Coturnix japonica: one gene and its partner. The protein of the gene in region 1 interacts with the protein of each later gene in a biochemical or structural test. Links are inferred from orthologs where the notes say so. Each region holds a gene or a part of one and is shown on either strand. Other genes may lie near its edges.

What was found. The genes of interacting proteins can lie anywhere in the genome.
Region 2: the proteins of TNFRSF8 (region 1) and TNFSF8 form a complex in vitro, tested with the Homo sapiens proteins (2 studies listed by BioGRID and IntAct). The link is inferred for Coturnix japonica from reciprocal best matches to the Homo sapiens genes TNFRSF8 and TNFSF8.

What each region holds. Positions count from the first base shown.
Region 1 is NC_029536.1:4,769,121-4,773,358, forward strand, and holds the start of TNFRSF8 (tumor necrosis factor receptor superfamily member 8), read right to left. Parts: upstream 2,852-4,238; 5' UTR 1-2,851. UniProt on the Homo sapiens protein: Receptor for TNFSF8/CD30L. May play a role in the regulation of cellular growth and transformation of activated lymphoblasts. Regulates gene expression through activation of NF-kappa-B.
Region 2 is NC_029532.1:1,654,328-1,658,478, forward strand, and holds the start of TNFSF8 (tumor necrosis factor ligand superfamily member 8), read right to left. Parts: upstream 2,841-4,151; 5' UTR 2,474-2,840; intron 1,566-2,473; 5' UTR 1,422-1,565; intron 803-1,421; 5' UTR 719-802; exon of another isoform or gene 444-718; 5' UTR 439-443; coding exon 142-438; intron 1-141.

The DNA of each region.
Region 1 (4,238 bases):
GGAATTAAATTCCACACCTTTGCTTCCAACACACCTCCAGGACAGATGCCACACTGTCAGATTGCCCCTCTGCTTCCCTCTGTCACACAGCAACAAAACGTAATGGGATATTGATGGGAAGGTTCAACCTCTATTGCCACCCCACCAACATCTGTATCCGATGCCATGGGCCAACATCATAAAATAGGAGGCATTACTTCCAGAGCAGCCCTCACAGAAAGTAGAAGAAGGTTACTCAATCCAAATAAGAAGATAGACCTAAGTTTTCCTTTTGAAACACTATGTGTACAAATGCTATTCCTCGCTGATAGGTAATTTTTATTGTTGGAATTGAAAAGTGTTCTATGGATGCATCTAGGAAGGAAAACAAGAAAACTGGAAAAGTGCCCAAGCTTTCAATCATATGCATTTAAACTCAAAATCAAAAGTGAAAATGCTTGGTAAAGATCAGCCATGTCATTAAAACAAAGGAGTGGGAGTTGGGTAGCAATTCCTTTCTCAGTACTCTGGCTCTCTTCATCTAAAAGCTGAGAGCTATGAAGTTTATCTGCCAACAGAAACAAAGTGAGTCTTCCTTTGCTGAAACAAAGGAGAGAAATTTGGGAAATGTTAAATAGCTTTTATGAAAGAAACAAGGAGGAGGGTTTTCAGCATCACCCTGTTGTTGCTGTTGTTGTTTTTCTCAAGAGCATTTAAAACATGCCTGAAGACTGAAATTCAGTGATCTTATTTTCCTCTTCCTGGCAGCATGTTTTTGTTCTGCAGAAACCAACCCAACTCTCCATCAGAAGTGGAAAGTTGAGTCCTTACATTGGTCCACCATTACCCAGGAAACCCGTGAATTCAAGGGTTTTAACAGAGAAAAGAAGAAAACACATCTGTGTCTTCAGATGTGATGCACTGAGAACAACTTCTTGACTACGAAAACCCAAGTTCCAAAAAGATGAAAGCCCCCAAAAAATTAAAGTTTGGAAATCACTCAAAAAATAAGTTCTACCACAAGCAAATGATTCACCTGAGGGTTCTCAAGATGTCATTCCTTGACATGCTAATAACTAAACAGAATGAATAATCAGCACCACACTCATTCAAGGCTGAGTATTGATTCTTGAAATGTACTGTCAGCAAGAAACACCTGATCTGGAGACATCACCCAATCTATCTTATAGCAATCCTAGAGGAGGCAAGCAAACACTGATGGCAGTTAAACACTATTACTAAGAAACAGGCTTGTCTATTAGAACAAATAACAGACGCATTCTTTACTGTCATATTTAAATAAGCAAAGCTCTGTTTCCCAACACATGAATCAGGGTTATCAACAGACAGAAAGGCGAAGTCAACCACCAGCTTTACCATTGAAGCACCAGGCAGTTATCACTCAAACCAAAAGAGAACTAATGAAAATGGGTACAGGCACTGGAGCTTGCCATCAACTGGAATACCTCTGCTACCTCTCTATACATTTGAGCACTTTCTTCCCACCCCCAGCTGATTGATATCAAACATCTCTCAGTCTCTAATGCAATGGAAATGCAAACAAGACCAGGCCCTATCAGCTACACATCCTTCCTCACCTTTCTTGTAGAGAACTCCTTTCTCCTTGGGGATTCTTGTATAATTCAGGCATTCCAGGTTGCTCCTTTTCTTGCTCATCAATATGCATGAAGACAAACCTCCCTAAATCACAGTTAGAGGACACATAACAGCACAGCTGCCTCTAGGAATGGAAAACAAGCTGCCATGGGGTGCCTGCAGGATTATTTTTATAACTTTGTGGGTAAGAATATAACCCTGAAGGTATTGTTACACCATTGGGAATCCTATTCTTTACCATACCATTTTGATCTGCACAATTCTTCCCTCACATCACTGCTTATATTCCATGCTTTCACAATCCAGCCCTCCTCTCCGCATTCCCTCTTTTATAGTCTCTACTACTTGCCACACGTCTTACCACTCTGGCTTCCTACCATATATATTCCCACAGTCTCACTTCTGCTTATCTGGTCCTGGTCAACCTCACATTCCTCTCACCCACAGTCCCAACACCCCAAATGCAGCAATCCCTCCCTCATCTTCCCCCTTGAAGTGCAGGCTGCAGCACTGGGTTCATCACAGCTCCAGCTCTGCAGACTCCAGTCCAAGTGCAGAAGCTGTTTTAACACTGAATAAATACAAACTTTCAACCTGTAAATAGATGTTTTCCCTTATAATTACTCTCAGGTGCCTTCTCAGCAACTCTCCTCCTTGAAAAGGCATAGCATCATGATCTGCAATAATATTTACTGCAGCACAAAACCTTAATACACTGTAATTCACTAATCCACACCCAGATTACTCATAGCACACCATTCAAAAATTGCATCTTGTAGTTATTTATAATCACTTTAGGCAAGATAAAACTTCCTTTGCCGGACTTTTGGATTGAGATTCAGTCTCATATTCAAAGCAAAATAAATAAATAAATAACCTGGTTCTCAGAAAGCCTGACCTCACTTTCTAGGTATGACCTGTCATTCCCTGCATTACTGTTGTTGAAAGTAAGCTAACTAGGATTTGTAACTTTGATATCTTGAATGCAATCAGCAGCCGCACTGCTTTGCACAGACCCTCAGCAGAGCAATTGTGAGAAAACATACGAAGGGAAAACACTCATTTAGCTCAGCTGTGGGTTAAACAAAATTGGAGCAAGCCTCGTTTTCTTGTATGGTTCTATTTTTAAAAGTGATTATTATGAGAAACTTGACCATGAACCACCTTCTTACTAGAACATGAGGCCACCATATACACACCCACAGTCAGGTGTCTCAGTCAAAAAACCACAACAAACAAAAAACAACTGTTTACTCTCTGTCACACTATCAGATCTCAATTCTGGACCACATACCAACAACATTAGCCAAGCTCCATTTACAAACCCTTTGCTGATTTCAATTGCAAATGGAAAGAAAAAAACAAGTTGTCCACACAAAAAATGTGTTTGAATATTATCAATGATAAACTGATGCAGCAACTGCTTGGAATAGCAATAAAATGTACATTGCTTAAGCTCTTCTGGAAAACTTGAGTAACGTTGGTTAGATCCCTTGTGCAAAAAGGATCATGATATAAAGTTACTTTGCACAAATCTGGAGACAATACGTAAAGCCATGAGGTCATTTTCTAAGTTAATAAGCAAACCACATTTTCTGTTCCTGAAGATTTCAGCCAAGGAAGTGAACTGAAGTTCCCAGTATTTAAAGATGGAAACCAGCAGAAGTTCTCCCGACTGTGAAATTGAAATTTTCAGTTTTATTAGCAATAAGGGCACATGGGACAGCTCAGATGATTCTATCAATTTATCTCAATAGATATTCTTTGAGACCGAGTACTTCTGGGAAGCTCCATCTGAAAGAGCACGCATGAACATAGTAAAAACCATTACGAAGAGAGAGATAGCTTGGGATTGTGCTTTAAGGGAAAGAATGCGACCAATTCCTTTCACTTTATCCTAAATATTCAACCCAAAACATAACTAGTCAGTCGTGCCATTTGCTTTCCATTCCAGTCACATAGTAAGACTTCATACATTTGCAACACTGCTCCCTTGCTTAAAAAAGTCTATCCATACATTTGTTTTATAAAGTATTGGGTACCTTAATTAACACCGAATGACAAGAAGCTGAAAATACTGGTGCAAACCCAAAGCTTTCTGTGAAGCCAGCGCCTACCAATAAACTTGATTTAAAGCTTACGAACGCAATTACTAGTCCAGATTTCACAATAACTTCCAGAATTCTTATGAAAGGAATTTATCTTTCAGAATTACTGGAGACAAAACATGACATCTGTTTTTATCATTTTTAGACAGGGAAAGATCGTACCATGAAGTTCCAACAAATCATACCATACGGAACATGTTGCTTTTGTTCTTAAGCTGTTTCTCCACAAAGCTTTTTTGCTAACCTCCAAAAATAACTTGGAAAAATAGAGGAAAGAGTAACTTGCAAATATCTTAAGGCATTTTCTAGGCTTTTGAGTCATAAAAAGTGCTTTTCCAGGTTTATGATTACTCTGTAATGTGCCCTGTAGCTACAGGCACTGAAGATAAACTAGACTTTTTAACTACATTGTTGAGTACCTCAAGTTTAAGGCATTAGCAATTTGTGTTTGTTATGCTTAACGTGTTTGAAAATAAGCATATTTGTATGCTTCCCACTGAACAAGGCCATTCACAAGCTAATTCCTTGCCCTGG
Region 2 (4,151 bases), on another chromosome or scaffold:
TGTGTTCATAACAGGGGGCAGAGACTGACCTTCCAGCCATGGGATAGTTTTTAGATTAGAGTAGAAGGTTATATTTAAAAAAATAATAATAAATCAATAAATAAGAAGAAAAAGGCAACAAGTGAAGTGAGAATTGCTTACCGTCCTCCGGATAACTAAGACCATGATGGTGGCTAACGCAAATACGAGCAACGCAACAAGGGTAGCAATGATGAAATACAGAAAAGTTTTGTTAGTGGCTCCAAGCCTCCTTGAAACGGTGTCTTCATTCACATGCATGGCTGATTCATGGGAGTCTTTCATCTGAAAAAGTGTTTGCTCTTGTGCCAAGCACCTTATATAGCTCTCAGGGTACTTGGTCTGTATCTCCCCTTGATCAGGTTCAGGTTGCAGCCCATCTCTGTTCCTGGCAGGATTTTCCCCTTCATCCTGGCTCATGTGATCTGGAAAAAAAACTTCATCACTTGTGGTACAAAGAACGAGGGAGCTGGGGGCGTGAAGCAGGTCGCAGCTGTGAGGAGGGGAAGGAGCTTCATGTTCGTGATCAGGGATTTCGCGACAGCAGCCTTGTGTGTTGCATCGGAGGTTTCTGATGTCAGAAGGTGAATGGTTACTAAGATCAGTGCCCCCTCCCTGCTGCTGGCTTTCCGTGAAAAAAGAGAGCTATGCAAATTTTGTTTCATTTTATACTCAGTGCAGCTCTAGTTCGGTGCAGTACATTGCCTGGAGCGCTGCCTTCCTGTTGCACAGAGCAACCTTTTGTTCTCCTCCGTAGCATCCCAGTGCTGTGATCTCCAGTGCTCTGTGTTCAGAGAGATCATAGATTGATAAAGGTTGGGAAAGACCTTTAAGATCATCAAGTCCTACTATCAACATATCCCCTCTAAAACATACATTTCATGTTTCACATGAACACGCCTCCATGTTTCTTGAATACCCCCAGGAACAGTGACTCCACCACCATCCCTGTCTTACCATTCTTTCTAAGAAGTTTACCCTAATATCCAACCTGAACATCCACTGATGGAACTAAGGCCATTCCCTGTTTTTCTATTACTGTTACCTGGTAGATTGGGTTGGTCAGGCAGAACCTGCCTTTCAGGAACCCCTAAAATGGCCAAATAGGATCTTAACCAACAGTCCATCTAACCTAGCAGCTTCCCTTCAATAGAGCTCAACTAGAGATGCCTTGTGAAAGACATCAGAACAGAAAAAGCAGGGAAAGTTATTTATTGAGTGTAATTATCCAGGTTCCTCTGACCTTGGCATATAAGAGTCTCAAACCAGAGGTAGGACTTTTTTATTTAATCCAGTTCTTCTCAACTGCCATGACTGGCAGCATCTACTATGCTTGAAAAGATCTTAAGCATCTCTTGCTTATAGCCGAGCAGGTGTTTAACTCAGCAAGGAAAATGACTTACAAGAGGATAATGGTGTTGTAGTTTTAAGAATGTCACATCATCTTCAGTGCCATGAGGAGAGCACTGTGAGCTTGCAGGTTTTCATGGCTGCACAGAGATGTGCGTGGTCAGCTCTTCTACAAGGGCAGGACACTCATGCTAAACCTACACGTAAGTGAAAAAGCAGATGTTACAGTGATAGCCACAAAAGACAAATAGATCAATGGAAGATTGGGGGGTAAAACATGGAAAAAAAATTAGCTCCTGTGCTAAGAGGTGCAATCCAGAATAAATCTGGCTTTAGTCCCTAAAACAAATTCAATCAGACTGCTAACATGGCATTTGAAAGTAACAGTTCACTTGTTTTGCATCAGCATTATACAATAGAGGTTACTAAGGCAGGAAACACCGAAGACTGCCCCAAGTTACAGCAGGATGAACAGATTAGTCCCAACTTTGAGGAGAGTGGAATACCTTGAAATGCAGAAGGGAAATGCTGCTCAGCTGAGGCAGGTGTGCTGCTAAGACAGATGGTGATTTTCAAGCAGGACAAGAATGCAGCATTAACAAGTACTTCTACCTCTGCAGTTCTGTCTTAGGCAGTAAATAACCACCTCACCTCCCTGTCAAGCTGGTGGTGATGCACATAACTTCAGTACAATGCTCTGTTACCCTTTACATCTAACATCTCTCTATAGAGTTACCACACTACCTGCCTGATTATTCTTCTTTTCCAGAGCTGAGATCACTGCTTTCATACCTTCTCACCAGTGCTGCATCCATTCTTACAAGCCCTGGTTGAAAGGCCAAATAGCATTGGTTCTTAATATGATGCACCTGCTGCATCCTCTGCAGCAAAGAGCTTTGCTTAAAAGGACAGAGAGGCTGAAAACAAGTGAACCACAAAACCAGCAGTTCTAATGACTTCTTGGTAGAGTTTTCAAGCAAGCGTCTTTAGCAGAAAAGAACAAAATATCCCATCCCCTTATTAATATTTAGTTATCTCCTCTTCGCTGAAAGGAACCAAACTGCTGAGAACTGAAAACACATCCATGTGGTCAATGGAAATTCACCTTTGTTTGAAGTCTGTGAGAACTGAAAACCCTCCTGGCAGACATTAAAGGCCAGTTCTTCAGAGACCTGTAGCCCAGTGACACTGAAATCCAGAGGTGTGAAGAGATCAGATGCCTTTGGGAGTTTCTGTTTTTATCTTCAGTGGGAGCAGTGCCTGTTTCTTATCAAACCATCATTCATGTTTACATCCATACAGTTTGCTACCAGAGCCCTGTCCTGAGCTTTTCAACACCTGAGAGAGCTCAGATAATATTCACCACAATGGATAGTTAATTACTGTGAATGCTTCCTAGCTGTGCCCTAATTAAGGGTCTCAGGCAGCAAACATGGGGAGGTTGGGCTCCTGCCTTCAAAGAGGTTGAACTGCACCCAAGTGCACATGCGGATGCTTTGTAAATCACTTGAAATGGAAATGCAACCTCAGTAAACTGAGGTTAGTGCAAAACATCATTGGCACTCAGGGTATGAATCACAGGTTTTTGAATTTCCTCCGATGAATCACTCTCCTGTGTTGTGCTTTGCTGTTGTGTTTGTCCCCAACGTCTCAGCCCGAGCTGAAGGAGATGGGGCAGGGTCCTCCTGCTGAGCAGGAGCCAAAAACACTGCAGCATTGGATCCCATAGGAGTGGCACATGAGCTTACAACCATGGATCAAAGAGGTCTCATTCACCTTGCCTTACCCTTACTGATGCATGGTAGGAAACGTTTCCCATTGGGTGAGATGCTTCCATTGGGTTATTATGGAATTCCTGTTGAAAATCAGCTGTGACAAAGATTTCTTTTATATAATGTTTATTAGAAGCTGTGCCTATTCATTTCCTCTTGATCCAGGGTAGGTCCCAGTGTGAAGTAAATGACACTCCAGTATCACACTCCCAACACTGCTGATATGGTTGGCACTTGCTGTAAGTTGCTGTAAAGGAGTCTTCTGAGGAAGGCTCTGCGTGTCTCTCATCCAGGCCTTCTTCTGCTCTTGCATCACGATGGAAGGTTTCCAAGAATAGCAATGTTCTTTTCTCATTTTGCTTCTCCAATAAAATTGTTGAATAAAAATAGACACCAGACAGGAGGAAAATAAGAGAGAAAAAGATAGGTTAGAGCTGCTATTGCACACTATTACCTCCTTGGGAAGCTAAGCAGTGTTTATTCATGCTGTGCAACTGTTTTCCTTGTTCAAAAGAATTGTATCACTCAGCCTTGTAAGGCAATAGAAAAAGAGGTAAATTAAATTAGCTGAAAATTGGCTACAGAGGGAAAGACATCTTATACTGGGGGTGATATGTAACATCCATCTCCCTGGAAGTGCAGGTGAAAAGCAGAGTCATTAAGATTGATAATAAAATACAATAATAAAGCAGTACAAATGGAACAGTTGTAAGAATGCAATAACTTCCACAGCTTTGTCAGAGAGTGCATTTGCTCAACTGGAGTCCCAGGAAGCCCAGGCAGTACCAGTTCTTCCCATGAAGCTCCCACCCCAAAGAAGGAGCTGCCCAACTTTTCATCTTTGCCATCTTTCAGCAGCATTTGCTGTTATGAGTCAACAGAAATGCTCTTTCCTGGATACAAATTCCCTTTGACTTCTGATTAACGATTTGGGAGCGAGACGAAGAAAGTAATATGTGAGTCACAAAGCTATAAAAATAGGATAACCAGAAGCACCGTTAAATAATAATA